Arabidopsis thaliana: one gene and its partners. The protein of the gene in region 4 purifies or fractionates together with the protein of the main gene of each other region. This does not show direct contact. Each region holds a gene or a part of one and is shown on either strand. Other genes may lie near its edges.

Region 1 (5,402 bases), on a different chromosome or scaffold from region 4:
AACAAAAGAATATAGAAATATATTATTTATGTGCATAAATAAGCGAAAAGAAGGCAGTAGATTCCCAAGGTTTCTTATGCTCAGAGATTATTATTTTTTCTGTTTTCTCAGACACGAGGAGAGAGATAGAGAGAGATGTTGACCGGTCGCACAGTCAAAACAAAAATAAATGGGCCCACTAAACTCTTTTCGGGGCCCATTGTGGTTTTCTCTTCTCCAATCCCCAAAACATGCAATTGTCTTTTAAACCAATTAAGTATTTTTGTTGTTGGGAAAATTAGATATTTTTTTTCAAAGCAAAGATAATAGTAAAAATACATAAAATTCAAGGGTTGTATTAATATGTAATAAGTTACTAACCAGTAACCAGGTAAATAGTAAGGGTTTTTAAAAATAAATTCTCTTGTATATCGTTTTAGAAATTATTTTAATTTTAAATAATGTCAATTGTACTTCTTTTTATAACTAGAAGTTCTTGAGAATAGTAAGAACTTGAATATATTTAAGGGCAAAAATAAGTTTAGTTTCAAAAAAAATATCACATGTTTTCGAATGTTCCACAAATAGCACAAATTTAGTATTATTTTTAAATTTTTTTTGGAAATGTCTTACTTAATTGTTGAAAATATTTAGGAATATCTTACTTAATTGTTGAAAAGCTTCTAAATAATTTGAATTTAAATTATAGGTACTAGAGTCATCAATATTTACAGTGTTCCAATTCAATACTACATTCACAAAAATGTAATCTCATGTCACTACGATGTGATTTAGAACAGTTTAGAAAAAATTGTATGTTCCGATAATGGAGAAAATATAGATTTTTATGTGATAAAAATTTATCGGAACAACAGTTTTTTTTAACATGATATATGCATATTTATAGGAACAACAAATTTTTTGTAAAATGGAGAGAATATAGATTTTTCTGTGATAAAAGTTTTTTTTAATATAAATTTAAAATAATCTCTACTGCATTATATGATACTTTATAACTTCTGACATATGTTAAAATAAAAGATATATACTATAGTGCATATTTGAGGACACAAAAATCATAAAATTAATTCTCTTTCTATTTCTTTTTTTTTTAATTATATCTCTGACATTATGTAGAAAAAAAAAAGTCCCTTGGAGCAAGAACAGGGATGTCTCTCATCATCATCAATAATGACTTATTAATTTTGCCGCCTTCCAAAGAGCTCTCTCTCTCTCTCTTATTTTCTTTTTTCCTTTCTCACAAAACTCTCATATTCAATCCAATTTTCAGATTGAAAATGAGAAATCAAAGAAAGAAAAAGAAAATTTATGTAGAAAAAAAAAACCAAAAAAATAAATAAGAACCTCAAATGTCATGAGTACTTGTGGTTTTGGGTTGTAAAAAGCAATGTATGACTCTTTTATTCTCTCTCATTGTTTTCTCCTCCTCTTGTTGCTGTTGTTGTTGTTGTTGTTGTTGTCTGGACTACTCTGTGAGGAATTTGTACATGACTCAACTGTTCTCTCTTCACTCCTATAGCTCAAACATGTTGCTTCCAACACTCCAACTGGACTTGCAGGTACAGCTCTTACCGCAACTCGCGCCTGCTCCTGCGATAAACTAGTTCCCCGCACATTCTCCTCCCCAGTGAGACTTCTCATCAGATTCAAACATCTCTTCACCCTCTCCTGCTAAAGGAAGACAATGATCAGATGAAATGTGTGTTCTTGAAACAGTAAAGGTTTAAGTCTTTCGCTATCATACCGAATGTTAATTACCTGTTTTACATATATGAGACTAGACAGTGCCTTTTCCTCATCAATGCATTCTGTTTCTCCTGAAATGGAAACAGACACTGCAGCAGCTGCAGCTATCTCAGAAGGCCTGAAGTCTAAGAATTCAATTGCTGCATTCAATTTTATAAACAGAAACGTATCAGCCTTCCTCATTAAACAAAGCCAAGTTAGTTGCAAATAAAGAAAGAATGTTGTTATAGCTTGCTTCTGATCAATAAATGACGCACCTTTGGTGGTGTTTAAGATGAATCTTGACGATCTATAGATCAAATTCTCCGACACGTGACCACTGATCTTGTCAACGAAATAATCAATGAAGGAGAATGGAGTTAGAGCTTGCAATCTCCAATTCAAAGTGGTGACAACCAAAAGCTCCATCCTTTTTATTGTTTTGGCCTCAAAAACAAACTTGGGATCTTCCACCTGCTCATAGGAACAACATTTCAAGATTAGTTCCACTAAAACCTCGATTTTCGACTCTTCGTAAGAAGACTGAAGCTATTAAGGACTAAATGTAAGTTGCACCTGTAAATCAACAATGTGAGGCACATCAGTTTCTTCCATTTTGGATGCTAATGATAAGCAAGACACAGCTAGTAACTGAGCAGCCCAATCCTTGTCTTTCTACGCAATCGAAAACACACAAACCGGTCATCGTATTGTCTCGAATACGATGAAACCAATCCGCAAAGACGATGCAACTTACCGGCAATTCATAGGATGTTAAGAACCGATCCAAGTAGTTCATGGATAGGCATATGCACAGATGTCCAAAATGGTAATGAGCACAAACCTGTAGAACAATTGGCATTAAAGACAAAAGAACTCAATTACTCAACAAGATCAATACCTCAATCTATAGAGAAGATTCAATTAATCTATAATAAATACATCAGAGAATGAATGAGCTATCAAACTGATCAAAGAACACACTTAAACTCAATCACAAAGCACAAAAAGAGACCAAACCAGATTTGAGGTTTGTCTTAAAACACAACACAGATCAAAGCAATCAAAAGAAGAAATCACATACCTTTAGAATCCAATCAAGAGCTTGGTTTCGAACAGACAAATCCAAATCACCAGAAAGCAATCTCTTAACATAATCAGTTCCAGGGCAAAACTCAATCTCTCTCACCAACATCTCTTTGATTCTGTCTTCACTCAAGGACGATGAAGAAGAACCCATCATCGGAATTGATCCGTTGCCGCCAAAGTTGTCGTCTTTAGCAAAAAGTTGGTGATTGTAATCAATCTCGTTCGTAAATCCGCCGCCATAGTTGATATCATCATCGTCGTTGTCAATGATCCATGACTCGCTGGTTTCACCACAAGCAAGATTCTCAGCCATGGGGTTTGGTTTGATTGTTGTGTTGTGTATTGATTGATAATAGTCTGTTTAATTCGTTTATTGGGGTGGTCTCAAAGTTTTTGAGAGCGTTCGGACAAGAAAGTGAAAACTAAGGAAGCAAAAGTCATCAAAGATGGGAGATTTCTGAGGAGGTTTTGTCTTGAGGAACTGCGATTTTCATGGCAGAGGAGAAGAGAGAGGAGAGAGAGGCTTATACAGAGGAAAGTGGGTGAGTGTGTTTTAGGGTAGAGAGGGGAGAGACCACTCCACAGACTCGAAATGGAAAATACAGAGAATATACACTAAGAACAATATGTGGAAATATAAATTATATTTAAAATTTAAATCATATTGTTATTAATAGTTTAATATCACAAGTCCTTATAAACTAAATTTAAATTGTCATAGTAAAAACGACAAAAAAAAAAAAAAAAAAAAAATTGTCATAGTAAAATTTAGAAATTACATAAAGTCAACGATAAAAAAAAAGTATTCCAAAAAAATAAGTTGGTCATAAATGTTGAAATCTCCAGAGATACTATTCCCAAAAAAGAAGACAATTCACTATTTTTTGGTTTTCATGTTCTTGTTTAGTGTTTTGTAAACTTCTGAAATTGAATCATATGCTTTATTTACTTCTATTTAGTGGATCTTTCTTTTGAGGTTAAGGTTAGGGAACCTTGTGCTATTCGCCAACATCGGTAACGTCGAGATATAAACCGAAAAAACAATAACTAATAAGATCTCAATCACTTATGATTTTGAACTAGAGTAGAATAAACTTAAAGACGCCCAACTGTTTTTACCGCTGTAGTAGATATGAAAGACTGATTGAAAGCCAAGAAAAGAAAATGTCAAAGATAGAAAGAAGAACCATCGACCAAAACTTGACCTAAAACATCGGACTACCACCACATAACCTTAGAAACAAAATATGAAATGCGGAGTTGTGGAAACATCCAACCTAAGGAAAAAAATATATAGCTAAGGCTATGTTTCTATTAAGACGAATCATTTAGTAACTTCACTTATATAAAATATTTTGTCATGTTTAAGTTAATTACAGTTTAACTAACACTATACATTTCTTTTCATTTTCATGATTTTCCGGATCGATTTATAAGTGTTAATTTGGATTCGATCGTTTAGACATCATTTTCAACATGTGTTCACATCCTTCCTCTATTCTTAAACACCTAGTTATATGGCAAAGTAATCTGATACAAAAGATATTTGCTAATAAATGATCTAATAATTTTAGAAATCTAACCCGCATAGCATGAAAATTGCTTAGTTCAAATCAAGATTTAGGTAATGTAACTCACCTTTATTAGGTTTTTAACTTTTAACTAGGTGAAGTGTTCGCGGATTTGGCCCATTCGACATTGTTATGAAGCGGTCACGATTATGAAAATTATATCCCCACTACAGAAGAAACTAAATAGGATAAACTAACTTTAGCAGTAGTCAGATGTGGATTAGACTTCACGTAAACGTACAAGTTGCGATATGAGCTCAAGCAAACATCAGATTTTAGGGTTTCCAACATATTACTTAACATATAAATTTTGGAAATTATTTTATGTGTTTTCTAGTAACAATGACAACAATTACGATATTGATTATCTAAGGAGTGGAAGTCACTGAAGAAAAATTACTAAACAACTTTATTTCCGGATTTTTTTTTTGTTTTGGGGTTTTTAGGTTCTAGAAAATAATCTCCATTTGGAATCAAAACTATCAGTTTCGTTTGGACACGCTTTTATTATCTCAACTGAGGCCATCCCACTATATTACTAAAGAAAAATACTTCTAAATCCAAGAAGGAGAGACTTCTCAAACTGAATAGATAAATTACATTCAGAATCAGAGAGCCTATAACAACTACATGCCACATCTCAGCAATACTAAACAGTTTGTTCTTTATAACCAAGGCCAAAAATTTGTCTCAGAGAACCATTTTATACTTTACTATCTCAATGATCTATGAATTCCCTACTAAGCATATCAATATCATTGCAGCATAGAAGGGTATCAATCCAATCCTTTGTGTGATTGCAAATATTCAAGACATAAACAACAATTATTTAAGTCAAGTCAAGTCAAATATGATAAGGTTTGGGTTTCTATTGAACTTAAACAATAGATTAACATGCAATACCAAATTCAAATGCAACTATACTAAGGAGAATGTAAAGAACTAAACAACTAAGCAATGAAGCAGCATGCATATCAATTGAAACTAAAGACCAAAAGTAAACAAAACAATAAACTA
Region 2 (5,283 bases), on a different chromosome or scaffold from region 4:
AGGGTATATCTATTAAAGCTTAGCCAATTTCTATTCCTAAACGAATTATATCATCGTTCTCAACAGATGGCTAGATTATGTCCATCTGAAAATTTGATTTGACAAATCAAAAGACTTGGAAATTAAAACTACCTTTTAACTCCGGCAACATACACAGATTTCTTCATAACAAGCTGTGGGATAAGATAATTGTCGTTATATATCGTAATTGACTCAAACACTAGACCTTGGGGCCTGTGTGGTTGGTTTCCAAATTGATTGCCTGTGAAGGCCCATTAATACGAATAGCCTACATATATGTGCTAATTTAAATCCCTAATACAGTACATAGTCGTGCATCTATATATAAATATATAATAAATCTACATTTATTTTGGTGTAGTTTTTATTATAAAGAAAGAGTCAAATGGTTACTAGAGGATCCAAGTCCAACTTTAGCAATCAAATCTTCGGCTAAAAAAATTTCCTCCAAAATTTTCCTCGCATAGTCGTGGATGGTATCCACTGTTTGTCCTCCTCAACAAAATGTAAAAGCCATTCAGAAGTACAAACATGAAAGAATAAAAAGAAAACACCTTTTTGACAAAAAGGATACAAAAAAATCATTTGCCAACAAAACAACCGAAAATTCTTCGAGTAGTATCAGTGGGTAGGGCCACCAGGAGTAAAAAAATCATTAAGCATGTGAGTAAAAAACAAGAGATAAACTGTTGCTTAATTCTGAAATCTCTCTTGATCTATTTATTATTCTCATGCAAACCATTAATCTTTACGGGAGAAAAATATTAGTATGATATTTTGAGTCCTGATTGCGACTAGTGATATCGAATGATTACAATTACTAATAAGTATTACCTGAAGCTTTCATCACGCGTCTGCTTAAACATTGATAAATACATTATACCCAAGTTAATCATTCTCTTAACTCATATAATGTCAGAAGATCAATGACATCGAGCAGACACGTTGTCGCCTTTTTACTCGCTTTTGTTATTACACAAGCTAAACAAAAAGAATGTCCCATGAAAGAAAAAGCAAATAAAGAGAGTAATACTATAATAAACACATGGGATAAGAAAGTGGATTAAGGCATCAATTTCGTCTCCATTACACTAAACACACACTTTTGATTACGTTCCAAGACTCGGCGCCGTTATCTTGGCGCCATTCACGCTTCCCTTTTATCTTTTGTCTCCTCTTTTTAAATTCAAAATCACTTAATCCCCCTAACCTAATTCAACTATGCACTCCCTAACTATACCCATATATGAACATATTCTTACTACGGTAGATCCATTTTAACCCCGAAACTGCCCATTTCAAAATTTTAAACAGTCTATGTATATCGTAACTAGGAAATATATTAAAAACAAACTTAGGTTTGCATAAAAGGAAAACGTTACTTGTTTAGCAAGTATTAGATATCTTAGAAATAAAATCGTTTAGTTAGGAATCATTTCCAATTCAGTAGGTGTGATTGAATGTCGATTTTATATGGTTCAGTTGATTTATGAGACAAATATTAATGGGGTCATAATTTGTAGCATTTTTATAGGAAACAGTTTAAATATCAAATATTGGTTTGTTAAGTTAATATACGTTGGATATTTGCTTTGCATTAAAATATGAAACCATTTACTTTACAAGTATATTGTATATACACGATAAATTGAAAAAATCAATGATTAAATGTCGTTTGGATTTTATGTAGGAAAAATCTCAAAAAGGGAACGATCTGATTCGATTGCAAAAAAAAATCGGATCAAAATCTCATATAAGGAAAAATACGAATCAAAGACTTCCGCTTCAAATTTTTTTTTTTGAAATCCATCCGATTAATTTTTTTAAAATACATAGATATCAGTATATCAAAAAACTGAAAACTCTTCCGTCTTTTGAGAATAAAAGAGTCCAACTTTTGCATTCGACATTTGACTATAACAGTATCTTTTCGAGAAGACGCAAAGTCGTTACGTGCGTTTATATTTCGTTTATTCATGTCCCAATACTACCTCTTAGGAAATAAGAGACTATTAAGACTTTCTTGCTTCCCAATACACCCCCACTAATATCAAATAACCTAGTTTAATTTCTTCCGTTTCTCAACACTTTTAAGAAAATACTTAACAATTGACATAAAAGAAAAAACGTACAGAGGAATTTGAATGGACAAACAAAGGTGAAACAACTAGAATGGACAAACAAAGGTGAAACAACTAGAATTTAACAATAGACAAAAAAAAAAGAAAAGGATTTGGTTAAGCAATATTAAGGTATGAACTAACCTAAACCATAAAATAGTAAAAAAGGAGGATTAAGGTTACTTTGTTTAGGAGCAGCACGTTGATAACCAAAAAGCCATAATTATCGCTTCCTTCAGCGCAGGATCCTTCTCTCTCCTATCTCTCTGTATATATATGTGGACCTTCACGTAATAGCTTCGTACTTCAAACCTCAAAAGCAATTTAGCTCTCTGTCTTCAAGATGACTTCTCTTTTCTTCTTTGTTCTCCTTTTCTCGTCTCTTCTCATAAGCAATGGCGATGCCAACCCAAATTACAAAGAAGCTCTCTCCAAGTCATTGCTCTTCTTCCAAGGTCAGCGATCTGGTCCTCTTCCTAGAGGCCAACAAATTTCCTGGAGGGCTAGCTCTGGCCTTTCCGATGGCTCTGCTGCTCATGTACACACCTTAAACCATATTTAACTTTGATACAGAATATATCTTTGTTAGTAACATTGATATATGAATTGCAGGTGGACTTAACCGGCGGGTACTATGACGCAGGAGACAACGTCAAGTTCAATTTACCAATGGCGTTTACCACCACAATGCTCTCATGGAGCGCACTGGAATACGGTAAACGGATGGGTCCTGAGCTGGAAAATGCACGTGTGAACATCCGTTGGGCCACAGATTATCTGCTGAAATGTGCCAGAGCCACGCCGGGGAAGCTTTATGTCGGTGTAGGAGATCCTAATGTTGATCACAAATGCTGGGAACGGCCTGAAGACATGGACACACCACGTACAGTTTACTCTGTATCCGCTTCCAATCCTGGTTCTGATGTCGCAGCTGAAACAGCAGCAGCTCTAGCTGCAGCTTCTATGGTTTTCAGAAAAGTTGATTCCAAGTATTCACGTTTGCTGCTCGCAACAGCTAAGGATGTGATGCAGTTTGCCATTCAGTACCAGGGAGCTTACAGTGATTCCCTTTCCTCATCTGTCTGTCCTTTCTACTGCTCCTACTCTGGTTACAAGGTCTGCTTTCACATGAAACTAAACCACTCTTACCACTACATCAGATCCTCATTTTTAAAAATGTGAATTTATGAACACAGGACGAGCTAATGTGGGGTGCGTCATGGCTGCTAAGAGCAACGAATAACCCGTATTACGCAAACTTCATAAAATCTTTAGGAGGTGGAGATCAGCCTGACATCTTCAGCTGGGACAATAAATATGCTGGTGCCTATGTTCTTCTCTCACGGGTTTGTCTCTCTGCTAATAAAAACTCATTGAGAACATAGCTTTTAGCATCACACTATCTAACTTTTACATTTTGGCAGAGAGCATTACTTAACAAAGACAGCAACTTTGAACAATATAAGCAAGCAGCTGAGAATTTCATCTGCAAAATCCTTCCAGATTCTCCTTCTTCCTCTACCCAATACACTCAAGGTAACCTACTTCACGATATAGAACACAAATTGCTAAACAACAACCTCTTCTAATCATATGTTTACCAATTACAGGAGGATTAATGTACAAGCTACCTCAAAGCAATCTTCAGTACGTAACCTCCATAACATTCTTGCTCACAACTTACGCCAAATACATGAAAGCCACAAAACACACATTCAATTGCGGAAGCTCCGTTATCGTCCCCAACGCCTTGATAAGCCTATCGAAGCGACAAGTTGATTACATACTCGGAGATAACCCAATCAAAATGTCATACATGGTTGGATTCTCTTCCAATTTCCCTAAGAGAATCCACCACAGAGCATCTTCTCTTCCTTCACACGCACTTCGTTCTCAATCGTTAGGCTGCAATGGTGGATTCCAATCGTTCTACACTCAAAACCCTAACCCTAACATTCTCACCGGAGCAATCGTAGGAGGTCCGAATCAAAACGATGGGTATCCAGATCAGAGAGACGATTATAGTCACGCGGAACCGGCGACTTATATAAACGCCGCCTTCGTCGGACCTTTGGCGTACTTCGCCGCCGGCCGTTCGACTTGAAATTGAATTCGCCACCGCCACATTCTCCGATTTGTAGTTCCATTGTTAGTTAAAGATCCGTTGGTCCAAGCCTAACGTGAAAATCAGAAGGGACAAAGTTATTTAAATGTAAAACTCTTAATGGGCTAAGACCCAATACTAAAGGACCCGACGGAAATATTTCTCGTGGTCTTATTTAACTCTAACCATCATCATTACGCGTTTCAAATATTCAACCAAGGCCGTTAATTAAGCACCACGGAAATATTTCATGTTTGGTTATAGCACCATGAAAGAACACTAGAATATTTACTTGTCAATTATGTCATGAAAGAACACTAGAATATTTACTTGTCAATTATGTCATCAGTACAAAGATTAAACAGCTGAAAGATATGCATTAAGTAGGAAATGTAAAGACAAAATATCGTTTTCTGCTAAAAGGAATTACACATATGCCAAACAATGGGCCGAGAGAGAATTGAAACTAATGGGCCGAGAGATATTTTTTCTCTTAGTGGGCTTTTAGGAGAAACTGTAGCAAAAACAACAGATTTCGAACAAAATTTTGATGTAGATCATAGCTAAAAAATAATCTGGAGTGAGCGACAAGCAAGCGGCGGCCGTCATGGATTCATCGCCGCCGAAGACTATCACCAAGGCTCTGCCGCGTTTCTCTGAACTCAAACCTCCGCTCTCAGAAGATATCATCGAGGCGCTTGACCGGTCCGGTTTCGAGGTCTGCACTCCGGTTCAGGCCGAGACGATCCCTTTCCTCTGCAGCCACAAGGATGTTGTCGTCGACGCAGCCACTGGTTCTGGAAAAACCCTAGCTTTCCTCCTTCCCTTCATAGAGATTATCCGTCGATCCAACTCCTACCCTCCGAAGCCACACCAGGTAAGGAGAATTAGCCGAATATCAAGAGTAGTAGCTTATGCTATATGTTAACAATTTCAATCTCAGGTAATGGGGGTGATTATATCGCCAACTAGAGAGCTATCAGCGCAGATACATAAGGTGGCAGAGCCATTTGTCTCGACTTTGCCAAATGTGAACTC
Region 3 (4,305 bases), on a different chromosome or scaffold from region 4:
GAAGGTTGTGATACATGCGGTCACATATGGAACTGACTCATTACAATTCTCCTTATTTAGGCAAACAACAAACAAACACCCTTTATAGGATATATACATGTATGTGTAACAGAGTTCATTATTTAATGAGTTGAAGAATTCACAACAGGAGTGGCTTATATAATCTGGATTAAACAAAAGAACTAGAGAGTAAAGGTCATGCTAAAAGCTAGAGTCCATGTCACCAAAAAAAACAAGAAAAACAAAAAATGTCACTTATCATTGCAAGCAAGAATCCGACAAGAAAAAAAAAACATATCTTAGAGATGTCTAACAATTGGAAAACAATAATGTATGGAAAGGTTTAAGATAGGTCAAAGAAGAAACTGTTGTGTCTTTATATAAATTAGTAAGGAAACATAGTCAAAAAGGTTTCGTGGTGTAGTTGGTTATCACGTCAGTCTAACACACTGAAGGTCTCCGGTTCGAACCCGGGCGAAGCCATTTATTAATTTTGATTTTTTTTTGATAAATTTCCGGTTCAAATATGCGTTGAACGTAGAGATTTGATTGAATCTGAAATCTAAAAATCGCAGGCTTAAGTTAGTACTTGAATCATTGTTATATTCGCAGTTATCTTGAGATTTTCGTACTGTACATTTCAATATTTTATCCATCTTGATACATTTACATATGTTGTGATTTATAATTAGCTAGAAAATCCCCTCACAAATAACTATTTAACTAAATGGAAATCAATCAAAGATAATGTCTCATTCTCATCTATAAAGTCTTAAGCATCTCTTCAGTGAAATTTCTAAAGTTAAAGCTGGTGATATATACATCTATCCTATAGGTTTCAAGTTTTTTAGTATGTCAAGCAATGCAACCGCTGCAATATAAGTGCAACTATTTTGAAAATAAAACATTTCTAATGTCATTTGAAGTGGCTTGAATGAACCCAACTACACGATGGACTCACTTAAACAATACTCACCTCACTGGACTCCTTTAAAGCCCGCACCACTAAAAAAAATATACTCTTCTTGTTACTAGACATTAGCCTATACCAAATCCCATTAGCCTTAATTTTCGATATGCATCATTAATAAAAGTCAGTGGTTGATAAAGAAATCTTACACACAAAAAAAACTTATATATTGTATATCCCGACAATGAAAAAAAAGAGATATAGAGGGGAGTATTATGAAGATATCTTCACATGTAGTAATCAATGCCGTATGAGTCGTTCTCACATGGATGTTTTAAGGTACCAATCTTTGAATATTTTGAAGATTTCAATAACTCAAAATCAACAAAATCTAACATACAAACTTTTGACATGTCCGAATTAATACTAACACATGTATCGATAGAGTTTAGTGATAAATCACTTAGCCCTAATGCTCTACATCTAATTATTAAATGTGTAGACTTTCATTTTTATAAGCTGGTTTGTTAGTGGAAATGAGTTGTTATGAACTAAATCCTAGCTAATCCCTAGGGAAAAAAAACTTGGGTAGATTTTTCATTTTAATTAACGAACGATACAAAGACGTGTGTAGAGTCTATAGACGAAGTGATGAAAAGGGTTTAGGCAAAAAGAGAAAGATAGAAAGAAAGTGAAATTGGTTTTGGAATTTGTTCTTATCTTTCCCCTACTTCCCAAAGCAATCCCGTTTTTCAGGTTTGTCTCTATTATTAAAATTCATTCTTAACTTGATATGGTAAGACGTGTTTATAGATACACTTACTGATTTTATAATAAAAATGCAAGGATTTTTGAAATCTGTTAAAATCAAATCTTTATCAAAATGTAATAAAATCAATAAACGAGGAATACCATATTTCAAAAGTATTAAGCGAATAAAAACACGATTTTATTTTTAAAAACTTTGGTATCAACGTTATGATAACACATGATTATGTTTAGATTTTTAAATCAATTAAAATCCGATAACTCTCACTAATATTTTTCTTTTATATGTTTTAGTTGGCACAAATTAAAAAAAAAATCTATCCCAAATTTTTTAAATATATGTATTATTATTGGTTAGGTTTTAAAAAAGAACAAATATGGGTTATTTCGTTTATTAATTAGTTTCGACACTCTAACAAATGTTTTGTCCCTTACCTAAAGAGAAGACCGTCATGAACAAAGCAAAGAAAAGAGTCGGTGTAACGCCACATCATCCCATGACTCATATTGGTAAAACTATCTTCTCTCTTTCACACTTCTTCTTTTTACTTTGGACTAATGATTTAATCAAAGATGTCATTTTAACATATATGTATAAAACGCGTAATTGGGAAGATACACACACACACATACCAGCTATGACGTGACAGTGTGTGTTAGATATTGAGATGATGAGCTGGCATCAACCTCTCTATAGTCTCTATATAATCCATTCTTTGTCCTCTCTTCTCTTTACATGTAAATTCACATATCTCTCTCTCTTATTTGATCATAAAGATATTATTGCTTCTTCAAGTAAACAAAAAATGGGAAGCTTTCTCTTCCTCATCGTAGTCATCTTCCTCTTCTCTTCATCCGTTAACGCTTGTGATCGATGTCTTCACCGTTCTAAAGCAGCTTATTTCTCCTCTGCCTCTGCTCTCTCTTGTAAACATTTTAACTACTTCTTTTTTAACTATCTGTATGTTTCTTTTCTCATGTCTTGTTTATGTGTTTTTTGCAGCTGGAGCTTGTGCTTATGGCTCTATGGCTACGAGTTTCTTCGCCGGACATATCGCTGCAGCTATCCCTTCTATCTACAAAGACGGTGCTGGCTGTGGAGCTTGCTTTCAAGTCAGATGCAAGAACCCTAAGCTGTGTAGCACTAAAGGAACCATTGTGATGATCACAGACTTAAACAAGAGTAACCAAACCGATCTTGTCCTTAGTAGCAGAGCTTTTAGAGCTATGGCTAAACCTATTGTTGGTGCTGACAAAGACCTTCTCAAACAAGGCATTGTCGACATCGAATACCAAAGGTTCGATTCTCAAAACACCTAAACTCTTTGGTTTTCTTAATCACACGATATTAACTTGGTCATCAAAAAAAAAAACAGAGTTCCTTGCGATTACGGCAACAAGAACATGAACGTGAGAGTAGAAGAAGCAAGCAAGAAACCAAACTACTTAGAGATAAAGCTTTTATACCAAGGAGGTCAAACAGAAGTAGTATCCATCGACATTGCTCAAGTCGGTTCATCGCCAAATTGGGGTTACATGACAAGAAGCCACGGAGCTGTTTGGGTAACTGACAAAGTACCCACCGGAGCTATCCAGTTCAGGTTCGTAGTAACCGGTGGATACGACGGTAAAATGATTTGGTCACAGAGTGTTCTTCCATCCAATTGGGAAGCTGGGAAAATTTACGACGCCGGTGTTCAAATCACTGACATTGCTCAAGAAGGTTGTGATCCTTGCGATGCTCACATCTGGAACTAAGTTATTTAGTGGCACACAAACAAACATCTTTCATAGGTTTATATATAATGTGTGACAGAGGTTATTAATGAACATAGTTAAAGAATGCTTAATCTAATGATTCTCATGATTCTACATTGATTAAACAAGAGAACAACATTGAGCCATTAACAACCAGAACTTTTGATTCGAAGACAGATTCATAAGATTACTTTACAACGGAGAATGATAATTAAAGCTTAATAAAACGAAAGAGAAATCCTAACACAAGTTATGACAACATCAGAATCAAATTCAGAGTATACAAACCCTAATTTACTAATTCAAGAGCTTGTGAATTTGGTAACAGCCTTGGTTCCTTCAGAAACAGCGTGTTTAGCGAGCTCACCAGGAAGAACGAGTCTAACAGCAGTCTGAATCTCCCGAGAAGTAATCGTCGGCTTCTTGTTATACCTAGCGAGCTTTGAAGATTCCGATGCCAATTTCTCGAAGATGTCGTTGATGAAACTGTTCATAATACCCATAGCCTTGCTTGAAATACCAATATCTGGATGAACTTGTTTCAGAACCTTGAAGATGTAGATCTTGTAAGTTTCCACACTCTTCTTCTTCATCTTCTTCTTCTTATCGCCGCCGGCCCCGGCTTCCTTCGGGAGTTTCTTGCCGGCTTTTGGTTTCTTCTCCGCCGGAGCTTTCTCGGCTTTTGATTTCTCCTCTACTGGTTTCTCGGCGGCTGGTTTCTTCTCCGCGGGCTTCTTCTCTGCTCTCGGCGCCATTGTTTTGACTTTTGTTTTACTTTTCTGGGTGAAGAAGAAGAAGCACAGATCTGAGTGATTTTGATATCTAATTTGATGAAGACGAGTTTTGATTTTATAGTAGTTAGAATAATT
Region 4 (3,985 bases):
TTTACATGAGCTATAAAGTATCGTGCCTCTGAGGTGCTAGATGGTTTTCCTCACTGTGTTTAAAGGTGAAGTAGTGCGTTTTGGTGTTAGGATTATCAAGTATAGCTAGCATAGCAACATGTTGATGGCCTACGAGATACTGAACACTTGAATCGTAAGTATAGCTAGCATAGCTTATCTTTGCTATATTCAAACAAAGTACTTGTGGATTTAGATTCTGGACTAACAAGATTTGTACTTTAAGAGATCCTTCCTCTTCATCTCAGTGGTACCTATGTTAAATGTAAAATGTTGTCTTTAGTTAAACGGTGTGGATACTTTATACTTAAGAAATTAACTTGGAAGTTACAATTGTAGATAGTCATCTCTTTACTCTCATGGAAAATAAGTTAATATATGACCTTTACTATACGACTATTTGCTTTCAGCGATATCAACGATCTGATGATAGTCACTGCGGAAACCTTGTGACTCAGAGCAAAAAGAGGAAACTGTGTTGAAGAATCAGCCATGTTTACCCCTACGGAAGCACTTTTGTCTGGAGCAACAAGCTTCTCTTCCTGATTCTTCATCCGACATAGAATCTGCTGAAATGCTCTTATATGCCATGGAGCCATGGAGTACACAAAAACCGGCAATGAGACCTCCCCTTTTGCGTCTCTCCCAGAACCTTATTTGGGACACAAAAACCGGCAAGGACACATGTCTAATCATTCAACCGGAAGTTATGGTTCTGGTTATGTTACATCAAGCTTGGACCAGTGTTGTTCCAAAGTTAATCATAAAACACACGAAGATGTTGAAGACTTTACTCACCTACATGAGTCAATATTTTAGTGTCACGCATTACAAAATTGTATGACATTCATTTGAATTGCAGATTCCGAAGAAACTACCTCAAAAACCAACCATTGATCAAAGAGTTTGAGCACTACTTTTTCAACACTTATGAATAACCAAAAAAACAGAGCAAATAAAGACATTGGTTCATCTGAATTTTCGTTAAGCTTTTGATGTTGTCTTGTTCACAGTTTCTAAACCTCACTTTCTCACCCAATTATGTAGTTGAAAAAAACTCTCTAATCAATAAACAGCATAATCAGAGTTTAACAATCAATCTTTCAATCTCCGACAAGAACTAATTAGATCTAGAACACAAGCCAACAAATTTCGAATTGGAAAACAGATCAAAGTTTCATTTTAGCAAATTCCAATTTCGATACACAAACAAAGTCATCTCTCTGAAAGATAAATAAAATCTAATAAGAGAACAAACCCTAAACATGTATCTACAGAGAAGAAAGTAAAAAAAAAACCTAGATAATTCAAATCAAATCAAATCTCAAAATCTAAGCGCAAGCTTCTCTTCGAGGCTGTGCGTAGAACAAAGTTTCAAGATCTGGTGGCTGAAAGTACCCGTTCCTCGGCGGATCTCGTTTTCTCACCACCATCAACTTCTTCCTCGGCGGCGGTGGACAAACAGACGCCACCGGAATCCTATACATCGTGCTTCTCGGCGTCGTACATCCTTCCTCCGCCATCTCCGTCTTCCTCTCCACCACCTCCATTCTTCTCTCTCGAACTCGAAATCGTCGTAAGAGGGAAAAAATTTGAAGTCTGAGAAGAGGCGGTTACATCTTTATTTTATATATCAAAAAAAAAAAAAAAATTCAGATTATTTCCTTTTAAAAAATTCGAAATTTGGGAGGGAGAACAAAAAAGGAATCTTTCTCACGAAGCTCTTTCTGAAATATCAATCGGACGGTGGATATGGTTTTAAACAGCTTGATGTGAGCTGGCTATGCTGACGTGGTGGAATTTTAGTGGTTGGTAGCACCAAATTTAAGTAACGCGTGACCCAACCGCACCGTTTCTCACGCTCCACTATCATTATTGGTAAATCTTTATTATATTAATATATATTTTGTCCACTTTTATCATATTTAATAATATTTTTTATCTGTAATTTATCCGTTTGTGACGGCGCGAACTTGCGCAGCAAGTCCCTTTGGGCGGGAAAATTAAAAAAGGACTCCTTCCTTTTTGCAGCGAAAATTTTATGTTCGTATACCGATCGGTTTTGGTAACATTAAACCGAAATTGTAAACCGGTATCTTTTTAATCCTTATATAGCTTCTGGAAATGAATCACGAGGGTGGCACGTGCGGTCTTCCACCAAGTTATTCACGTGATTTATTTCTGAGAGTTAAACGCACTCTCACTGTTACCGTTGTTCTTGTCCTCCAGTTACAAGCCAACGTAGCAAAAAATAAAAATTATAAGTAATTGATTTTTGTCAAGATTATATATTGATTATGGTATAACAAAACTTTAGAAATATAAAATTATCAAAAAATTATTATAGTAGCAAATTTAAGAGAAGCCCATAAACCACAAAAAGTATCAATCGGTCAAACCCAAGAAGAAAGCAAAAAACCCAAAAAAACTTAAACGGCCCAATCTGATTAACTATATAATATATCCGTTTTGGCCCATTAAAATAAACATTACCGGCGGCGAAAAGAGCTCCGAGAATATGTGGGGTGCTCCGGCGATTAATAATTAAAATTAGTTTATTGTAACTTCATGTTTTTCGTTGTTGTCAACTACTAATCCTTTTCACTTGACTCGGTCTTCTAGTTTCAACATCGGTTAAAATGGTCCTCAGATAAGTTCTTAACTTGTCGTTTTAAATTACAACGTAGACGTATTGTAGAGCTTCTTATTTAAATAATAAAAACAACGAATTTTATGTGGAAATAGAGTTGTTTGCAGGTCTTTGTTGTACTCAAGGAAATTTTCTTGCAATTTGTTGTTTCACTGAAATGTCAACGTATATATATGTGAACATGGAGAGCCTATCACATTCTCTACTCTCGATGATCATGAGTACAAATTATACAATAATCCTAGTTATTAGTTTTTACCATTATATAATACTAATTGATCAAGCAATATTGCTTGCGGCTCCACTTTTATATCAAACGAAACCTAGTCCTGGACTCCTAGTAATTTAATTTTCATTTTGGAGATTCAGTTATCAGATTTTTTTATTAAAAAAATATAAAATTGATATATGAAAAAAAAAAAAAAAAAAAAGAGAAATAACAGGGAGATTGTAGTCTACAATTTGTAGTGGAGTCTCAGTCTACATACATGAGTCATATTGATGTCTTTCTATAGTATCAATTAAGTTTTGACGAATGAGTGACAAAATATTTTGTTAGTGCCTTTAGTTTTGAGTGATTGTCCTTTTCACCACGACTTGACAATTTTTTTCTATGAGTCCGAATTACGAAACTACACATAAATTTCTGATTCATACGCCAAAAGAAAAAAATATTATATGATCACTAACACGATTTGAATATGAATACTATATGATAAGTAATACATTGACTTTTATCGTAACTCGTTGTACTAGCAGAATAGCTTTAGTTAATTATTTTCCCTTGTTATTATATTCCAAACTAATCTAACCTCTTCTCTTGGACCTCTATGGAGTTTTCTTTGTTAATGTTGTTAGTATGTTTACATTTAGTATAAATTTATACGAAGATGCTTTGTGTTTCTCTTCTTACAGCTCTTATTACTTAATTTAATTTTAATTATATTCGTGAGTAATTTTGATATTGACGATTAATTGAGTTAATCAATAAGAACAGAAAAATGACTAATCGAAAACCCGGAAATAACCATTTAAAAAGAAAGAAAAAGAGCAAAGACGTCAATATCAATGCCAACTAGCTACTTTTGATATAAATGCAACAGTTCAGGAAAAATAAGAGTTATATTAGTCAAAATCAGAATCACCAATTATAGTTTAAATCCTATTGATCAAAGTGACATTTTATACACGTAATTCTAAAAACTATTAAATTATTTAATTAAGAGGAATTTCATACAAATATCTAACATTTTTAAAAGTTACCAAAGTTTCTAATCGGGACACTTGCGTTTATTGATTTTCTGTTCGTATTTCTTC

The links.
Region 1: the proteins of AT5G02220 (region 4) and CYCD2;1 purify together in Arabidopsis thaliana (affinity purification with mass spectrometry, with the first as the bait; one large-scale study listed by BioGRID). This does not show direct contact.
Region 2: the proteins of AT5G02220 (region 4) and CEL3 purify together in Arabidopsis thaliana (affinity purification with mass spectrometry, with the first as the bait; one large-scale study listed by BioGRID). This does not show direct contact.
Region 3: the proteins of AT5G02220 (region 4) and EXLA1 purify together in Arabidopsis thaliana (affinity purification with mass spectrometry, with the first as the bait; one large-scale study listed by BioGRID). This does not show direct contact.

Annotation. Positions count from the first base shown.
Region 1 is NC_003071.7:9,552,747-9,558,148, forward strand, and holds CYCD2;1 (Cyclin D2;1), read right to left. Parts: upstream 3,400-5,402; 5' UTR 3,128-3,399; coding exon 2,810-3,127; intron 2,570-2,809; coding exon 2,483-2,569; intron 2,401-2,482; coding exon 2,302-2,400; intron 2,200-2,301; coding exon 2,004-2,199; intron 1,887-2,003; coding exon 1,759-1,886; intron 1,672-1,758; coding exon 1,411-1,671; 3' UTR 1,057-1,410; downstream 1-1,056.
Region 2 is NC_003070.9:26,898,951-26,904,233, reverse strand, and holds CEL3 (cellulase 3), read left to right. Parts: upstream 1-2,257; 5' UTR 2,258-2,484; coding exon 2,485-2,679; intron 2,680-2,753; coding exon 2,754-3,257; intron 3,258-3,337; coding exon 3,338-3,487; intron 3,488-3,565; coding exon 3,566-3,677; intron 3,678-3,751; coding exon 3,752-4,245; 3' UTR 4,246-4,469; downstream 4,470-5,283. Other genes in the region: AT1G71370 (DEA(D/H)-box RNA helicase family protein), read left to right, coding at 4,853-5,122, 5,189-5,283.
Region 3 is NC_003074.8:16,893,754-16,898,058, forward strand, and holds EXLA1 (expansin-like A1), read left to right. Parts: upstream 1-2,412; 5' UTR 2,413-2,484; coding exon 2,485-2,605; exon of another isoform or gene 2,606-2,641; coding exon of another isoform or gene 2,642-2,681; coding exon 2,682-2,976; intron 2,977-3,054; coding exon 3,055-3,436; 3' UTR 3,437-3,555; downstream 3,556-4,305. Other genes in the region: EXLA3 (expansin-like A3), read left to right, coding at 1-36; HTB9 (Histone superfamily protein), read right to left, coding at 3,739-4,191.
Region 4 is NC_003076.8:440,535-444,519, forward strand, and holds AT5G02220 (cyclin-dependent kinase inhibitor), read right to left. Parts: upstream 1,654-3,985; 5' UTR 1,569-1,653; coding exon 1,350-1,568; 3' UTR 918-1,349; downstream 1-917.